Kluyveromyces lactis: one gene and its partners. The protein of the gene in region 4 binds, or shares a complex with, the protein of the main gene of each other region. Links are inferred from orthologs where the notes say so. Each region holds a gene or a part of one and is shown on either strand. Other genes may lie near its edges. The genes, in order: MRPL33, MRPL44, MRPL17, MRPL38, MRP35, IMG1 and MRPL11.

The links.
Region 1: MRPL38 (region 4) and MRPL33 share a complex: the UniProt entries of both Saccharomyces cerevisiae proteins name them as parts of the mitochondrial large ribosomal subunit. The link is inferred for Kluyveromyces lactis from reciprocal best matches to the Saccharomyces cerevisiae genes MRPL38 and MRPL33.
Region 2: MRPL38 (region 4) and MRPL44 share a complex: the UniProt entries of both Saccharomyces cerevisiae proteins name them as parts of the mitochondrial large ribosomal subunit. The link is inferred for Kluyveromyces lactis from reciprocal best matches to the Saccharomyces cerevisiae genes MRPL38 and MRPL44.
Region 3: MRPL38 (region 4) and MRPL17 share a complex: the UniProt entries of both Saccharomyces cerevisiae proteins name them as parts of the mitochondrial large ribosomal subunit. The link is inferred for Kluyveromyces lactis from reciprocal best matches to the Saccharomyces cerevisiae genes MRPL38 and MRPL17.
Region 5: MRPL38 (region 4) and MRP35 share a complex: the UniProt entries of both Saccharomyces cerevisiae proteins name them as parts of the mitochondrial large ribosomal subunit. The link is inferred for Kluyveromyces lactis from reciprocal best matches to the Saccharomyces cerevisiae genes MRPL38 and MRP35.
Region 6: MRPL38 (region 4) and IMG1 share a complex: the UniProt entries of both Saccharomyces cerevisiae proteins name them as parts of the mitochondrial large ribosomal subunit. The link is inferred for Kluyveromyces lactis from reciprocal best matches to the Saccharomyces cerevisiae genes MRPL38 and IMG1.
Region 7: MRPL38 (region 4) and MRPL11 share a complex: the UniProt entries of both Saccharomyces cerevisiae proteins name them as parts of the mitochondrial large ribosomal subunit. The link is inferred for Kluyveromyces lactis from reciprocal best matches to the Saccharomyces cerevisiae genes MRPL38 and MRPL11.

Annotation. Positions count from the first base shown.
Region 1 is NC_006039.1:553,262-555,412, reverse strand, and holds MRPL33 (mitochondrial 54S ribosomal protein uL30m), read right to left. Parts: upstream 756-2,151; coding exon 501-755; downstream 1-500. Other genes in the region: KLLA0_C06292g (uncharacterized protein), read left to right, coding at 1-301; NGL2 (RNA exonuclease), read left to right, coding at 1,370-2,151. UniProt on the Saccharomyces cerevisiae protein: Component of the mitochondrial ribosome (mitoribosome), a dedicated translation machinery responsible for the synthesis of mitochondrial genome-encoded proteins, including at least some of the essential transmembrane subunits of the mitochondrial respiratory chain.
Region 2 is NC_006039.1:594,785-597,180, reverse strand, and holds MRPL44 (mitochondrial 54S ribosomal protein mL53), read right to left. Parts: upstream 930-2,396; coding exon 872-929; intron 740-871; coding exon 501-739; downstream 1-500. Other genes in the region: rRNA-processing protein RRP36, read right to left, coding at 1-152; DNA-directed RNA polymerase II subunit RPB7, read left to right, coding at 1,486-2,001. UniProt on the Saccharomyces cerevisiae protein: Component of the mitochondrial ribosome (mitoribosome), a dedicated translation machinery responsible for the synthesis of mitochondrial genome-encoded proteins, including at least some of the essential transmembrane subunits of the mitochondrial respiratory chain.
Region 3 is NC_006039.1:256,993-259,560, forward strand, and holds MRPL17 (mitochondrial 54S ribosomal protein mL46), read right to left. Parts: upstream 1,293-2,568; coding exon 501-1,292; downstream 1-500. Other genes in the region: TEX1 (Tex1p), read left to right, coding at 1-293; Nrd1 complex RNA-binding subunit, read right to left, coding at 1,610-2,568. UniProt on the Saccharomyces cerevisiae protein: Component of the mitochondrial ribosome (mitoribosome), a dedicated translation machinery responsible for the synthesis of mitochondrial genome-encoded proteins, including at least some of the essential transmembrane subunits of the mitochondrial respiratory chain.
Region 4 is NC_006037.1:613,741-615,895, reverse strand, and holds MRPL38 (mitochondrial 54S ribosomal protein uL14m), read right to left. Parts: upstream 918-2,155; coding exon 501-917; downstream 1-500. Other genes in the region: putative serine/threonine protein kinase KKQ8, read left to right, coding at 1-210; protein kinase NNK1, read right to left, coding at 1,379-2,155. UniProt on the Saccharomyces cerevisiae protein: Component of the mitochondrial ribosome (mitoribosome), a dedicated translation machinery responsible for the synthesis of mitochondrial genome-encoded proteins, including at least some of the essential transmembrane subunits of the mitochondrial respiratory chain.
Region 5 is NC_006042.1:2,241,510-2,243,726, reverse strand, and holds MRP35 (mitochondrial 54S ribosomal protein bL35m), read right to left. Parts: upstream 789-2,217; coding exon 501-788; downstream 1-500. Other genes in the region: NMA111 (Nma111p), read left to right, coding at 1-278; protein channel TOM70, read right to left, coding at 1,459-2,217. UniProt on the Saccharomyces cerevisiae protein: Component of the mitochondrial ribosome (mitoribosome), a dedicated translation machinery responsible for the synthesis of mitochondrial genome-encoded proteins, including at least some of the essential transmembrane subunits of the mitochondrial respiratory chain.
Region 6 is NC_006042.1:571,763-574,024, reverse strand, and holds IMG1 (mitochondrial 54S ribosomal protein bL19m), read right to left. Parts: upstream 1,017-2,262; coding exon 501-1,016; downstream 1-500. Other genes in the region: BUD23 (18S rRNA (guanine1575-N7)-methyltransferase), read right to left, coding at 1,326-2,129. UniProt on the Saccharomyces cerevisiae protein: Component of the mitochondrial ribosome (mitoribosome), a dedicated translation machinery responsible for the synthesis of mitochondrial genome-encoded proteins, including at least some of the essential transmembrane subunits of the mitochondrial respiratory chain.
Region 7 is NC_006037.1:292,829-295,496, reverse strand, and holds MRPL11 (mitochondrial 54S ribosomal protein uL10m), read left to right. Parts: upstream 1-1,430; coding exon 1,431-2,168; downstream 2,169-2,668. Other genes in the region: KLLA0_A03289g (putative nitronate monooxygenase), read left to right, coding at 1-672; TRM8 (tRNA (guanine46-N7)-methyltransferase), read left to right, coding at 2,482-2,668. UniProt on the Saccharomyces cerevisiae protein: Component of the mitochondrial ribosome (mitoribosome), a dedicated translation machinery responsible for the synthesis of mitochondrial genome-encoded proteins, including at least some of the essential transmembrane subunits of the mitochondrial respiratory chain.

The DNA of each region.
Region 1 (2,151 bases), on a different chromosome or scaffold from region 4:
TGTTTTGAGCAAATATATCTCCCAGAATATGAGTGTTCAAAGGTTACCACAAAGACCTAAAACAAAACATTTGTACAATAGAGTTGATCAATTGCTGGCTCAAGAAAATCAATTCTTTTCGGCAAATGACAGTATAGAACTAAGTTTTGATGGAAAAGCTATGAATAAAAATGATATCTTCAGAATTGTAGATTCGTTCTCGGTGGCATTTGACGATGATGAATATGGTGAAGATGGTGACGACGAATACGTGAAACAGCCTAGGAATATTCTCACCAGAGAAGTCACCGGTGTCTTCTAAATAAAGACGTTTGGTATATGATACTCTCAAATACCTCATTAGAATAAGATTAATATTTCTTTGATCTCTATATACATGAAAATCCTAATATCCTTTTCTTTATGTAAAACAGAAGATGTTCATTGTGAGCCCAGTTTCTTCTCTGTTAAATGTTTCTGGTACATTGCTTTGTTTGTTATATTGTCTGGTATGATCCTTTCTATACTCTCTTTTCGACAGTAAATCCAGGATTTGATTTTCTTAGCTCACGCTGTTCTGCCTTACTTAAAGCTTTATCGGCAAGCTCAACGCTCACAAGCTCCTTTATCTGAGCGACAGCACCTGCAATAGATGGTGTAGCTGGTTGATATGCGACAGATCCTCTTTTTCCGAGTCCTAAACTCTTGACCACTGCCCTAGTCTTCTGTGGAGTACCAATGACTGACCTCTGTAATGTAATTCTGTAGAAAACCATGGCTATCTTTGAAAATTATTATGATAGCTATGCTTTTAGAAACCGTTCGCTAATACCAGTAATGAAGTATAATTTCCTCGGTCGTAAGTTTCGTTGACAATATAGAGAACTATGTCAAAAAAAAACGCTCTTTTAAGAGATCTTGTGCATCATTATCGAAGAGATTAACTGGGTATTCAAACCATTAATAGCCAACGTACATTGATTTTTCAAATAGCATCAAAACGTATAAAGTGATATCATGTGATGTATATTGTCTAGCAGCTCATCGCGTATGTCATTTGGGCACTTCTCACAAACCGTCGCAGGAAAGTGCTACCTACTGAGAAAGAACCAGGAATTGCATATAAAGATCTCAAGATTATATCTCGCTGTTTGAATATTTCTTCCTGAATATGAAGTTGCATTGAAATTGTCTTAGGAGGGGCATTTGCTTGGTTATGTATATATATATATATATATATGTCATTTCTTTTTTTCCAATATTTATGCCCGATTGAATAATATATATATATATCATATTAACAAGCTCTTAACGCCATGGTTGGTTAGATCTCTCTAAGGTTTATATCGCCACTATACACTGCAAAGTAGAAGTAATAATTTGAGCCAATATGGCTGGTAGTACGCAAGACACCGGCGTCAAAGACGTTCCAAAAGAGCTTGTGGAACAAGCAAAAAAGCTATCGATTACTGATGGGATGGACCAGTTGAAGGTAGAAGGTAAGAATAAAGTAAAGGACAAGAAAAGTAAGAAAAAAGGCAAGGCCTTGAATGAGATCACTCCAGAGTATATCGCTGAGATGCGAGCTAAGAGAGAAGCTGCGAAAATAGCAAAAAAAGAGGCTCTTATTGCTCAAGGTATAGATCCAAAATTGCCCGCAGACCTTAGATTTATCAAAAGGCCGATGTTAGCTGTTCCTCGAGATTCATCAGGCCAATCGACGAGAGAGGTATGTCCAATCAGTATAATGACGTATAATTGTCTTGCCCAAGCTTTGATTAGAAGAACACTGTTTCCTACGAGCGGAAATGCTGTTAAATGGTTTAAAAGATCTCAAGTTTTACTCAATGAATTCAAATATTACAATGTTGACGTACTGTGTTTGCAAGAAATTGACACGGTTCAATACAAGTCTTTCTGGAAAATGGAGTTCACAAAACTAGGTTACATGTGTCAATTCCATTTTAATCCTACCAAAAACCACGGAGTATTAATTGCTTGGAAAGAAGATCTATTTGATATGACAGATAAGATGTTAATTGACTACGACAAAGAAACAACAGGTGCCATTGAACCAAGAACAACTACCAAAAATGTTGGCATGTTGCTTTCTTTGAAGTTTAAAAAGAAAGTGCTAGAAAAATATCCAGACACCAAAGTCAGTGGTATAAT
Region 2 (2,396 bases), on a different chromosome or scaffold from region 4:
GATCCAAATGAGAGTGTCTTTAGCTCATCTTCGCTTTGTGAACCTTCTGCATCACTTGTATCGTTTATTCTTATGATTGATGCTATGTCATCTTCCTCATCTTCGTTTCCTGAATGAAGATCTGGCTTGATATTCTTGAAGTAAAATGACATTTGTATATTACTGGTAGTTTTTGTGGCCGTGGCTGCTTACAGGTTAGTTATCAGTCGCTTCTACATAGAAGTTCTTCTTGATTTTAAGTTTAGCTCATCGCTTCTGCATTGGCACCGTATAAAATTTTCAATATCTGGAAGAAACTTGAAATTCCTATTCAGGCGATGTAAATGAATAATGGACAGGAAGGGAGCTTCAAATAATAAGGTCTGTGATCATACCAACAGCGTTGACTCAATTTAATCCACTGAAGCATTGTAGTGTTTTATATCTTATACTACATTAAATTTCTTTTACTTATTGTTATATATACATGAATTTTGTGATGGGTATCTCGTCACAAGAAATCATTGAGATTCAATACTTTCCTTTAGGGCCAATTTTCTTGAATGACGATCAAAGTAGTTCCCTAGTTCCATGAAGTTCATACTGCTTGGATCAGCTTCCAATTCAGTTTTATCTTTGAAAGTAACTTTCACTGTAGGTTTCTTATTAGAGCCAGAAACCAAAACTTCGTTTTGCAATTGTAATCCACTTGTTCTTTGTGAAGGAGGAATAGCACTTAAGAACAACCTAGCTGTCTTGGCTGTAGATGAAGATAAATGAGACGATTGATGTTTTAATAGTAAAACAACCGTAAATCATATTATGTTAGTAATGGTGTTCGGTAGTTTTAAATGATGTCCAACTAATGATTTCTCTTTCTTTGAAGACATACCTTCCTTTCCTAATGGATTGAATTTCACAACTGCCTTAGTAAAATATTTCGTGATCATGTTGCTCTATAGTTCTCTTGACAACAGCTGACAAACTCCCAAGTATTACTCTGATGAGACGTCCTCATCCAAAAACATACTTCACAGCTGTATTCATCTCTAGCTTTTTGCCTAAAACTGTTTAAATGGTAATAGCGATCTCATCAGAGGCTATACTATTACCCGGATAGTTTTTGAATGTTTTTGGGCGATGTTTGACGAAATGAAAAATATTGAAAGAAACATCCAATTGCAAAATGAACAACTTCAATATTTGCAAATGAAGCAAGACTGCTTTTAGCACAATCGGTTTTTAGGATCCTTGGATTGTTATTTAAGGTCGATATAAGGTACTCGCCTTTAATTGTTTGCAGGTTGAACTAAGTGCGGGTTGTTTTTCATTCGTTTATTCAATTGTAACAGCCGTTGATACGGTGAATCTATTGGCAAGCTTTTTAAAAAGGAACTATTCATATTCGAATTGGACTTTCAGTTTGATTGTAACTATACTTTAACTTGATCTTATTGCCTGAAGGACCAGTATCTTTTTTATAGAAGCGAAATAAACTACAGAGCCATGTTTTTCTTCAAAGATTTGTCGTTGAATATAACGCTTCATCCATCATTCTTTGGACCTCAGATGAAGAGATATTTGATGACAAAGCTACTACAAGAGGTGGAAGGAACATGTACCGGTAAATTCGGATATATCCTATGTGTTTTAGACTGTGAAAATATCGAGATTGAACGTGGACGGATTTTGCCTACGGACGGGTCAGCAGAGTTTACTGTTAAATATAGAGCTGTGGTATGGAAACCTTTCAAGGGAGAAGTTCTTGATGGTATCGTATCTAGTTGTACAAACTTAGGTTTTGAAGTGGAAGTTGGACCTTTGTCTGTCTTCGTTTCCCCTTTTTTGATGCCAGAAGATTTGACTTTCAACAGTGGTTCCAATCCTCCATCATATCAATCATCAGAACAAATTATTACTAAAGGATCTAGAGTAAGATTAAAAATCGTCGGTGCAAGATCGGAAGTCAACTCTATTTACGCCATTGGCAGTATCAAGGAAGATTATTTGGGGGTGATATGATATTTCTTTCCTAGAACCTTTCACATTTTTCACCTAATCGCAACTATGACTATATATAGCTTTGGACATAAATTTCCAAATTCCGGTCATCATTGTTATCTGCTTCATTTGTGAGCATTTTGTATAATATAAAAGAACAAACTAATTTAACAAGCAGCATGGTCAATGTACTTTCTTTTTCTCAGCAATTAATAATAGCGTCACATTAATTTTTTGATTGTACCAAGCACAAACTGTTACAAAAATATCTGTTAAAAGCATATACATTGTTGAGAACTTTCACATGAATCAATTGACATATGACGATTTGTGTCAATGATTCTATCTTAAAGATATCACAAATAAAATAAAATAAAATAAAAATAATAACAAGAATCCCTCGTTGAATTGCATTT
Region 3 (2,568 bases), on a different chromosome or scaffold from region 4:
AGTCGTGCTTAATATTTTACACCACTGGTGCTCTTGATAAAATGACAATGGTTGATTTACGTTCAGGCAGACCGAAAACTATGGTATCGACCGATGATCGTAAACGAAATGATTTTGTTAAGAAAAGCACCGATCGGAGCAGTAGAACTCAAAGAGACACACCACAGCGCGGGAAGAGGGATAAAGAGCTGCGCAAACAACCATACAAGAGAGATGCTGATAAATTCAGTGAGAAGTCGTTTGGTCGCTCCAACACAGGGTCTTCTTTTAGAAAGCCAAATGATAGATGGTGATAGATTTAAAAGTTAATTAGCATTCTTACAAGTATATAATGTTCCAATCTTAAAATCAATCAGAGTTCAGCAATATGTATATGATTGTTATCTTTTAGTGTTCGATACGGGTTGGAATTTCTATCCGAAGCAGTATTTACAGGAGGGTTTACATATATATATAGTGATTAAATCATGCCAATACTTTCTGTGTTTGATGATAATATGTTAATTCTCAGCAAGAACATATTGTATACTATTGAAATATCTCTCGTCAACAGCTTTCTTGATTTCATCTTTTGTCAACCATGCAAATTCTTTGATTGACTTTTCATCCTTTAACTTGAATTCACCTGCTATGATATGCGATTTGATCAAAAACTGGAGATCTTTTTCAGATTGTAGAACACCTGCTGGAGTATTCGACACAGTCCATGTATTAATATCTTCTCCGCCGATTTTTCTTAATCCCACTTCAGCGGTCTCATGTAAAGCTTTCTTTCCTTCCTTAGCTTCAATATCAACCGGGAAACTTGGAAGAACCCAGCTTCCCTTGTCATCCTTCACAAGCAAATGCAGAGTTCTGTCCAATTTTCTGTCTAAACTAGTAATATCGTTATTTTCGTCTGCCTTTGTAGTTCTGGAATTAGGAACAATTGGCCTTGAGACATCAGACTTGTTTGAACCTTCTGAAGCCTCTCTTGGTAGCATAATATCTTGCTTTTGACTTCTTTCTCTGTTATGTCTGACGTCTGGCACTCCTTTAGGGAACCATACACCAGGCTGCTTGCTAATCACACCTTTCTGTACAGACTGGAAACGACGCTCTGCCAAAGTACCTTTTTTGAAATAGAAATAAGATGGAAATGTCCACATTAGTCTTCTTTCCAGTTCTGCCTGGTATTGGTAGTACTTGTTCTCTAGTGCATTCAATTCTGGAGTGACGATTGGAACACGAGAAAGTACCAAACCTGCCTTTACTGCCTTGGGAATCGAGCTTGCTGCTGCTTTCACAGACATTTTTATTTATAATTGTGTCGATGAAGAGGGTTGCTGACTGAATATACACGATGATTGACAGCTGGTGAATATGCTTCCCAATTCTGATAAGCGGCACTATTTCAACATGATGCTGATGTTCCAATAATTTTTCAAATTGTTTGAACATCCTCTCATGCCTACTATTCCAAAATTTTTCAATATGAAATAATCGATCACGATATACGGATTTGATAACTTTCCAAGTGGTGTCACTAATAGAACAAAGTAGTGAGTGAATTGCATATGCATAAAGGCTATCAGATACAGAAAATTATTTAAGTGCATTTATATAAGCATTATTTTGGCGTTTGGTTCAAAATATTCATCAATGTGTTTAATTGCGCAGTTGGATCGAAATTTTGTGGGGGTTGAGGAGATTTTTGGCCCGAAGGTTGAGTAGACTGATGCGATTGCTGCTGCTGCTGCTGCTGCGCAGATGATGCCGATCCCAGCAGTTGATTTTGACCATATACCATTGATGGAGGCTGCTGATACAATGGCTGGTTATAATACTGTTGTTGGATTTGAGGAACGTTCGGTATTTGTGATGTTTGAACCGGAGGAGGAGGAGGAGATATATTACTGTAGGGGATAGGTGTTTGAGAGACAGCAGTAGCTTGACCAACTTTACCAGACTTGGGACCCAAAACACCTTTATCAGTTGGCATCTTTTGCGAAATCGCTTTTGATGAAACACCTTCACCAACAATAATATCGGGCTCCTCATAAACCATGTTTGTTTGGATTGGTTGACCACCAGTACCACCCCATTCCGCGGACTGTGACCATTTGAAGTCAATTTCGGTTAGCCTGGCCAATGGGATGATTGAATATCCATATTGATAGTCACAACAGTCTCTAGGACCGAAACCAACGGCCCAACGGATTCTCAAACCATGTGTCGGATTGCCACCACCAGTGAAATGCGCCATGATCCTCTCCGCTTCTGCTCTTGAATAGACTTTCACAAAGGCGTGCTTACGGGCATTATTCAAAATAACACTCTGAACCTCACCGAATTGTCTTAACATTCTTGCAATATCATGTTCTTTGAAATTTTGTGGGACACCACCAACGAAAAGGGTTCTGGAATATACTTTTACGTGGTCCCTTGGCACAGTTGGATCAAAGGATACCGGTTTTGGCCTAAAATGAGGGTTTGAGGGAACATTCTGCTCATCTGGGTACAAATGATGGTTATTTCCTTGTTGACCATTAATTGACTGCTGCTGTTGTTGTTGTTGTTGTTGTTGTT
Region 4 (2,155 bases):
TTCCTCGAGGATATGGAAAAACATGGACAATATTATGTATTTGACGAAATGAAACATGTGTCTCCAGGTATGAACCGGTACAGAACTGCTGCACTTTATCATATCTTCCAAGTTGATCCGAATAAAAGGATAACGGTGGATTCATTGCTAAAAAGTTCGTGGATGAAGAGGACAAAATGCTGCGTTACATATCCACCAAGGCCGGTGTAACACCAAAATTTGTTTCATAGCTGAAGGCCTTGCTACTTTGGCAGATTTAGATTAGTTTCTTTCGCATCATTTTTATCTATATTTAAGATAAACATACATCTCTTTGAAACACTTATAAAATATTGATATCACTGTCAATGAGCAATAAGTTGGTAGTCGCGTATCCATCATATTTATCATGGCATTTTCATAAACTTTACTAACGATATTTTCTATTTTTTATTATCTATATACATGATTCTAAAAGCCCTGCGCAGTCGTAATCGATATTTACCAGTGGTGAAACATATTTACAAAACTTTACTTGCTAGAGAGCAAATCTTGTTGTAGCCCTTTTCCCTTAGTTCTCTGCCGACAACACCATCGTTACCCATAATTCTTGACCCTAGAGGTTCACCATTATTCTTGTTGATTAATACACAAGCATTGTCACCGAACGCAATTGTTGATCCATCAGGACGTATCATATTTCTTTGCTTGGTACGTACCACCACAGCGTGTACAATATCACCTTTCTTCACTCTGTTGTTATTGGATTGCCCAGTAATAGTTTGTGTTAATGGTTTAGCCTTCTTCACCACACAGACGATTTTGTCACCTATTCTACCTGGAGATTTTGGCGAACCTTTTCCAAGTACTTTGATACATTCGGCAATTTGAGCACCTGAGTTGTCAATGACTTTCAAAAAAGACTTCAAATAAATCATGTTATAACAGTCACAGTGTGAACTTCAGTTAGGTCGTGTGCTGCAGGCTGCTACTGATCGGGAAAGCACAGCTTTTCTTCCTGGACTATCGTTAGAGAAAGGATTAAAGCTTTCTATGTCTGGTTTCATCAAATTTTTTCTTAACCCATAATTGATGTATATCACGTGATTGATTTATTATTGGCTAATCAACGCCATTATCAACGCTTACTACATACAAATAAAGTGCTTACAACGCCGTCATTGTTAAGACAGCTGGTGTTTTCATTAGTTATCGTTATATACTTCAGTAAAATTATTAAGTATTATGCTGTTGAGAATGGTAAAACATCAGAAAAAAGGTCAATGTAACAGTATGCGTTACTATTAATGCTATTGGTATGCTTGTTGAATTAAAAATTAAGGGTTATAACTGACAAGGACAGAATAGTAGAAAATATTTTGTTAGTTTAGGATTAGTTTCAATGCTTACCCAGAGCTACTTTCACCATATCAAGTTCCCATCTCCGGGTTAAGTCTTTCGTTAAGCAGCCCTTCACTGCGTTGAATAGACCTTGGAATTCCACCTGGTCATCTACACCCAAGTTCGAGTTCATATCACAGTTACAAACTTGGCGTAGTGTCGTTTTATCATATTTACCTGAAGTTATTATTGCACGAAGTCTGGGCTCGTATTCATGTTTAAAAGGTAATTTGCCGGTAAGCATGGTGAAAATTAAAACACCAATGGCCCATATATCAGCGCTTGGTCCAATGGGAGGAGGGTTGGGTTCTAGTAACTCCGGAGCAGCGTATGGTAAAGAGCCAATTCTGCTCATGTCATCGTTGATATGTTCATGCAAATCTTTGTTAGGTGTTAATGTAATGTCTGTTTTTTGGTTCAACGAGCTGGTTAGGTTAGAACGAGTGCTCTTTGGTACGGAGTGAATACCCAAAGTCGTATCATCATGAATTAATTTTTTATCGTTCACTATTTGTCTTAACCTTGATTTCAACCGTAAAGAAGAATTATTCGTTGAAGAGGAAGATCTTGGAATTGAGGGTCTTCGTTTCAAGTGAAGAGTAGACCCATCAAATAGGGATTTCAGTTGAATTGATTCATTTTCCATCTGATCTTTGAAATGGCCATAAAAGTGACTCATGCCAAAATCGCATAATACAAGCTTCCAATCTTTGTAGTTCTCAGACTTTTTTTCTAGAAGGCAATTTTCCAACTTTATATCTCCATGTGCAATGAA
Region 5 (2,217 bases), on a different chromosome or scaffold from region 4:
TTTCTCGTGGTACATCTTCTTTGGCGTTACAGTACGGAATAGAAGTGACCAACTTTATCACACACGTCAATGACCAATCAACACCTGATTTGGATACATTCTTGAAGGTTGTTAAAGAAATCCCAGATAATACATACTGCAAGTTACGCTTAATGACATTTGACGATGTTCCGTTTGCCATTTCCTTAAAGACAAACTATCACTACTTCCCAACGGTAGAATTAAGAAAGAATCCAAAAACAGGTAGTTGGATCGAGAATGATATCTCGGAGACTTAATTTGACTATATATATGATTAATCATTTTTTACCGTTGTTTGCAAATTGTATATAGGTATTTATTAATGATAATTATCCATTATAGTAACCCGCTGATTTTTCATGACATGCTTTACTGAAAATCATGGTAAGAAATGGTGTGTCATTCATTATGGGGATGCCATTGTTATATGTACAGGATTGAAATCGAAACGATATCTTATTTTAATTGCCTTTCATCTCTTAATGGTATGGAAGCAATCTCTTTAAACGATGCATATGTGTGGAGTCTGCTAATGACCTGCCAGATAATGATTTAAGGGAGTTCCTACTCCATCCAGCATTACCATGATTTCTTCCAGCCTTGCCCCTCTTGAAGCTATTGGCTGTTTTTCTCCATCTTTTTGCGGCACCTTTGTGTGTTTTCATCAAGTTTCTGGTGAGGATGAGCGATGAAACATTAGTTTTAGATCCCAGAAGTCCAGTTCTAGCGGAAAAGTTCATCATCGAACCAAAGATAGAAGATAGCATATTTGAAGTAGTTCGCTGGTGGGGTAAATCCTGCTATAGTCCGTTAACAATGAAGTACTTGAATTGTAGCTCACTTTCACTCAGTACCTTGCCATAATCTCACAAGAAACTTTTATTACATACACTTCTTTCAGAGAAAACAAAAAATGTCATTTATGTTGAAACGTATGTAGTGATATACTATCGAAGTGTTTAAAATTACAATTTGATTAAATTGTGAGATGGGGGAGATACATGTATATACAGAAAGACGTATTTGTTTCTAGCAAAATGGTAGAAGATGATGTTTTTGAACCAGGGGTATTTAGGAGCACATATTTTGCAATGAGCTGTTATTGAAAAGCGTTGTTCTCGTATTCTTGTTCTTCTGTGTTTCTTTTTGTCTTGTTTTTGTGAAGAATTGATAACTATTTCTTATTCTTCACGTTGTAATGTTGAGATCTTGTCGTTTACGATTAACACAGTTCACGCTGCTTACGAGTCATAAATAACTTGGGTGAAATGCTACAACTTTTTGTTTGTAAAATCATAACTTTCTTGGTAATTCATTCGTTTAGATGTTGCATGGTATGTTGCCATTATGGTCATTAAGGTGAGACAAAAACAATGAGCTATTGTAGCTTTACTCATATTGAAATGAATTAAATTCATTCGTGAATATCATGCTAATTTACGCGAGACCTTGAGCACGGTAGGCTGCAATAGCTTCGTCGATCTTACCCTTAATGAATGGATCAGCTCTGATCTTTTTCTGGACCTTGGTAGCCTCAGCGAAAGTAGTAGCTTGTAGTTTTTCATCGAAAGATCTTGAGAGATCGGCAGCATCTTCGAACAATTGAATGGCATCATCAATTTCTTCTTGTTGCAATTTTAGTTGAGCAAGACCGATCTTGGCTTGTTCGGATCTTGGATCGATCTTACAAGCTTCTTCAAATAATTCGGAAGCTTCAACGAAGTTTTCAACGGTTGGGTTTCTAATCAAAGCAGTGGCCTTACCAATCATTGGAGCAATACCGACGTGAATACCTGGTAAAGCATCTTCCAACTTGATGGCAATATCGTATTGCTTGATGGCAGCATCTAGAGAGTTCTTAGCAGCCAAAATTTCGGCATAAAAGTTTGGAACTTCTGGAGCAGTTGGGAACTTTCTTCTGGCTTCGCTGAACAAAGTTTCACAATCATCAAATCTATCGTCACGGAAAGCCAAGCAAGCACATTGGATGTAGGCAAAAATGTTTTCTGGATTTAATTCCTTAGCCTTATCGAAATCGGCACCAGCTTCTTTGAAGTTTTCAACAACAAAATGCATTTGACCGCGATGATAGTAAACAGCAGAGCAGTTTGGATCTAATTCTAAAGCTTTGTCAAAGTATTCCTTGTATTGGTTGGCTTCACCCTTGTCAGCCATAATCAAAGCCATGTAGATGTA
Region 6 (2,262 bases), on a different chromosome or scaffold from region 4:
CGGCTGGTACGGCTTTCATAACATTATACCACTACTTTTTTGAACCAATCAAGAACCTTCATAAATTATCAAAAATGCGGACCAAAATTGCTTGTAATCTTTTCATTTCTAATAGAGCAACTTGCTCACTCAATGCAGCTTTGTTTTAGATAGAGCGTACAAATCCTTTCTTATGCTTATCCTTTCTCATGATTTTCCTTTCTTATTGGATGCACTTGATGAGGTATAAGGACTAGCATAATCCGCCTTTTTATTTTACAGATTATACAATTATATATCCACCCGACATGCTAATGATACAAATAACTTTACCTAGAGAAGCTGGACCTGCATAGAGTACCTTGCATTATGGTTCAACTCTGGAGCTCTTTCAACTTTGAATCTTCCTTGTCTTTGGGTTTGCATTGATATCGAGCATTACTTACTATATGTTTGAATTGCTTCTATGTACATGTTTCATTTTATGAAAATTCAGCAAGTGTTTGATAGTGTGAATGTGCTCATTTCTTCTTTCTCATACTTGCTTCCAAATCTCCGACATCCAATCTGGTGTTTCTGATGTAATAATGTTTACTTCTGCGTCTCTTACCATCCGCTCTTCTAATCAAATCAATTCTCTCTACCAATGGTGAGAAGATTGGCACTCTCATTTCCACACAGGTTTTATAAATATAATCTCTTAATAGAATGGATGTGTCTTGTACTATTGGCTTACGGTCTACCGATAGCACATATCCAGTAAAACTATCGTAGTTGCATTTCTTGGAATCGTAAACTACACGAAGAACATCACCTGCACGTAGACGATTTGGGTTTTTCTTTGAAACCATCTCTGTTTTTACACCAGTTGGGTCAAGTTGTTTTAGATCATGATCAGCTAGAGTCTTCACTACTAATGGGGAGGATATTCTTTCAACTGGTGGGTAAACTGGAATAATCTTTCTTCCACTCTTAGCTGGAAGTTGATAACTTCTAACAGATTGTCTGATAACGGTAGGTAGTAGTCTCTTTAACATTGTATGGGACTAATATAGTTTTGGAATGGGAACTTGATCTGACGGGTAGTAAAGGCTTAAACTCAAATATAAACTGCGCTTCAGTGCTTTCTTAACTCTTAGGTACTTATGTTTCCATCTTTTTTAACCAAAATTTTCGAATGTTCTTTCTATGGAAAACTACAACATAGGTTTGATGATCATTTTAAACGTTTTGATCATGGCAGATGCAATAGACACGGAAAATGGTGAATGAATGATAACGTTTCAGTCCATGTTTGCTGATTGTATTAAGTGCGTATCTACTAATTCTATATATGCAAGACCATACTAAAACCTAGGTCTTCTCTTTCTACCCGTAAACTTCGAGTCGAGAGCTACCTTTCTACCTCTTTTTTTCATCACCTCCTTCTTTCTGTTGATGTAATCCTTACTTGATTCAACTAGTTTCTTTTTACGCTCTCTCTTTACCATTAGATCTGCATCCATCTTAACACCATCCAAGTTGACTTGTTCATTCTGTTCTGTAGATCCGGAGCTTAATACCAAGTAGTACTTCTTGTTCTTTTTGGACTCGGGATCATCAATGACAAGGCCACCAGAGAATCCAGCTACTTTTGCTGCTCCCAAGATTTGGTCTATTTGATCATCATTCTTTGGATAGAATTGTGCTACAAATTTTCCTCCTTTCTTCAAACTAGCAAATAGTGTATTGAAGAACCTCATGAGCCTTCTCTTTGGATCGTTGTACGATGTGTCCGCATTACATAACCATTGAATCACAGATATACTAATTGCCGCATCAAATACACCTGCTCTAAATGGAATACCTTGACCTATATCGTGTAACATAAGATCACCTTCAACTTCTCTTTCTAGCGCTTCAGCTAACATACTAGGAGAAATGTCTAATCCACACCATATATGTCCTTCTTCAGTGATGATTTCACCACTTAAACCAGACCCACACCCAATATCCAAGATATATGATGTATGTGGCAGGTTGAGAAGTTCTAAGGCCCGAAGTGTCATTTTAGCTTGAATATGTTGCACTCTTGTGGAGCCACTATACTTCTTAGATTCACTGTCATTGTAAAACACTTCTGGTGGTGCCAAATCTTCTGGACGTGACATTTCGATCTCAAACTTCTTGTAATTGTTATCCTATTATACTTTATTCCCGTCAGTTGATTAACAGAGCATATCAATGCAAACAGCTTGCTCAAGTAGCCATTGTTAGTTCGTAAATGTTTGGCGATGACCGAGA
Region 7 (2,668 bases), about 320 kb from region 4:
CATTTCGGAGTGCCATCTGCGAGCACTTTAAAATCATTGAAGCAAGCGGGAGTTGTCACGATGGCAAGTGTGACTCAATTAAGTGAGGCTGAATTGGCTATTGGGCACGGGATAGATATCCTAATCGCTCAAGGTGTCGAAGCGGGTGGTCATCGGGGAATGTTTAACGCATCATTAGATCCGGCAATATCCACGAGAGATTTGGTGAAATTACTAAAAGCAAAGTTGGGCACAACTATTCCTATAGTAGCAGCAGGAGGAATAATGTCTGGTCAAGATATTAAAGGAATGATGGAAGTAGGTGCCAGTGGTGCTCAATTAGGAACCGCATTTGTCCAATGCAAAGAATCGGCTGCGTCAGAAAATTACAGGAAATTATTATTTGACAAAACAAGAAATGACATAACTCAAATCACAAGCAGCATATCAGGTCGTCCGGCGCGAGCTTTGTTGAATAGTTGGCACACTGAGGTGGATATTCCAACTAGAGTGATACATCCAGGGTATCCATTTACATACGATGTGGGGAAGCAGTTAAATGCCGTGTCTATTCCAGATCATGATGGTACCGCAAATTCTTTCGCAGCACATTGGGCAGGATCCAATGTCAGCCGTATCCGTGATATGGATGCGAGACAACTAATGCAAACCCTTGTCGATGAGATGAGATAATTTTCCAGACCGTTACAGCACAGAGCTATGCTGTTTCAAATGTACGAAAATCCCGAATAGCGACAAATTCCACAATGGAACGATGAAGTTACACTAATTGTGCATTATTCTCGTCAGTTACATGACTGCATTTATTTTTTCAATGACGAAGTAGAGTTGCATCTCTTCACAATTTCACTACGACCCTATAAATCCCGGACTACCTTTTGTAAGGAAGAAATCTAATCTTTCGACATCCCTCCTAGCTTGGACAGGAGACGTCTATAACGGATTACATTATTTAAGCATGATGTTGACGATAGCAATGACAGTTTGCAGTTCGAAAAGAAGAGCAGAACTCACCAATTCCTCTATCATTTTAATTTGAACAGTCACGTGAATCGACCTTTGCCTCATTCGGGATTATATATACTATAAAGAAGATATATAAAAAATTACCAATATACATTTTTTGCTGCCATGGAAAATATACGAGAAAGTCTTCATTCCCTTCTCCATTGTTGATACCGATTTTGGCACTCATACCACTTCCAATTACCATTCATACCTTCTTACATTGAATCTAACTATGCCTCTCGTCGGTTTATTGTACCAAGTATTGAAATTCGACGATACTGAAAAATCTGAAAAAAAATGAAAAATCTGAAAAATCACTGAAGATTGATATATTGTAGTGAAGAGATATATTGGTGGGAATGAATTCGCTTAAAGTGATTCGAATCCACAGCTCAGGTCATCACCAACCACTCAAAATAGCCATGTTGTCACTTTTGTTAAGAAGCCCAGTGGTGGTATCCCGTGTCTCATATGCTTCTCCGTTTTTGGTTAGGAGGTTTGCCTCTACGCAAATTGAGAGAACTGTCTCGGATGCAGTTAGAAGAACAGTAAAGCCTTTGGACTCTCGTAAGACTTTCCTAATCGACTCTTACAAAAACCTGATGGAAACCAGTCCGGTAATGTTGTTTTGTCATCATAACAATTTGATGAAAGGGGAGAATGCACACTTCAGAGAAGAAATTAATAAGGTAGGAGGCAAGTTAACAATCTTGAGAAACAATTTGTTCCAAGTATACTTGAGAAACTCACGCAAAAATGACCCAGCTGCTCCAGCGAAACGTTCAGAACAAGACTGGAAGCATCCTTTACTGCCCTTGTTCAAAGGTCCTACGGCAGCAATTTCGTTCCCAGAGACTGATCCGGCAAAGGTAAAAAAAGTCATGAAATTATTGGAAAAAGCCCAAGACAAGTTATTCGTTATTGGCGCCAAAGTTGAAAATGATGCGTACGATTTGAGACAATTGGATTCTTTCAAGGATCTACCAACAAAAAGTCAATTACAATCAGAATTACTGGGACTATTGCACGTCTTGAGCGGTGCTGGTTTAGTTCAAACTTTAGAAGCTGGCTCAAACATGTTGTACCTAACTCTAAAGTCTCACGAAGATAATATTAACCCAGATAAGCAGAAAAACGAGAATGACAGCGAAGGAAATTAAAGTCTTTTGCCCCATCATGAAATGTAATATAAATCATTTTTACGTATCGATGTACTTAAATAAACCCATCACATATTAATATAAACTCCTGTACATATTCTTTGCACGTGACTTTTTTTGATCTCATTTGTATATTGTAAAGAAATAAAAAGTTTTTGAACATGCACTGAATCAATTGAGTCGAGAAAACCTAGGCGATGAGGTTACAATTTTTCAAAGCAGTTACTTCCACCAACCGTTAATGTGTGTTGAATAAACATAATTGAATTCTAACAGTGACTCAAATTTCCTATAACTGCCTTTGTTAGAAAATATGAGTTTTAGTACTAGACGCCAGGCGTATCGTGCTGAGAAGCAAGATCATCGCAAAGAATTGAAACATGTCAAGATCGATGAATCTGTGATTGAAAAGGTGGATAAACTATCTTTACCTAAAAAAAAGTTTTACAGACAAAGAGCACATTCGAATCCATTCAGTGATCATCAGTTGGAGTATCCAA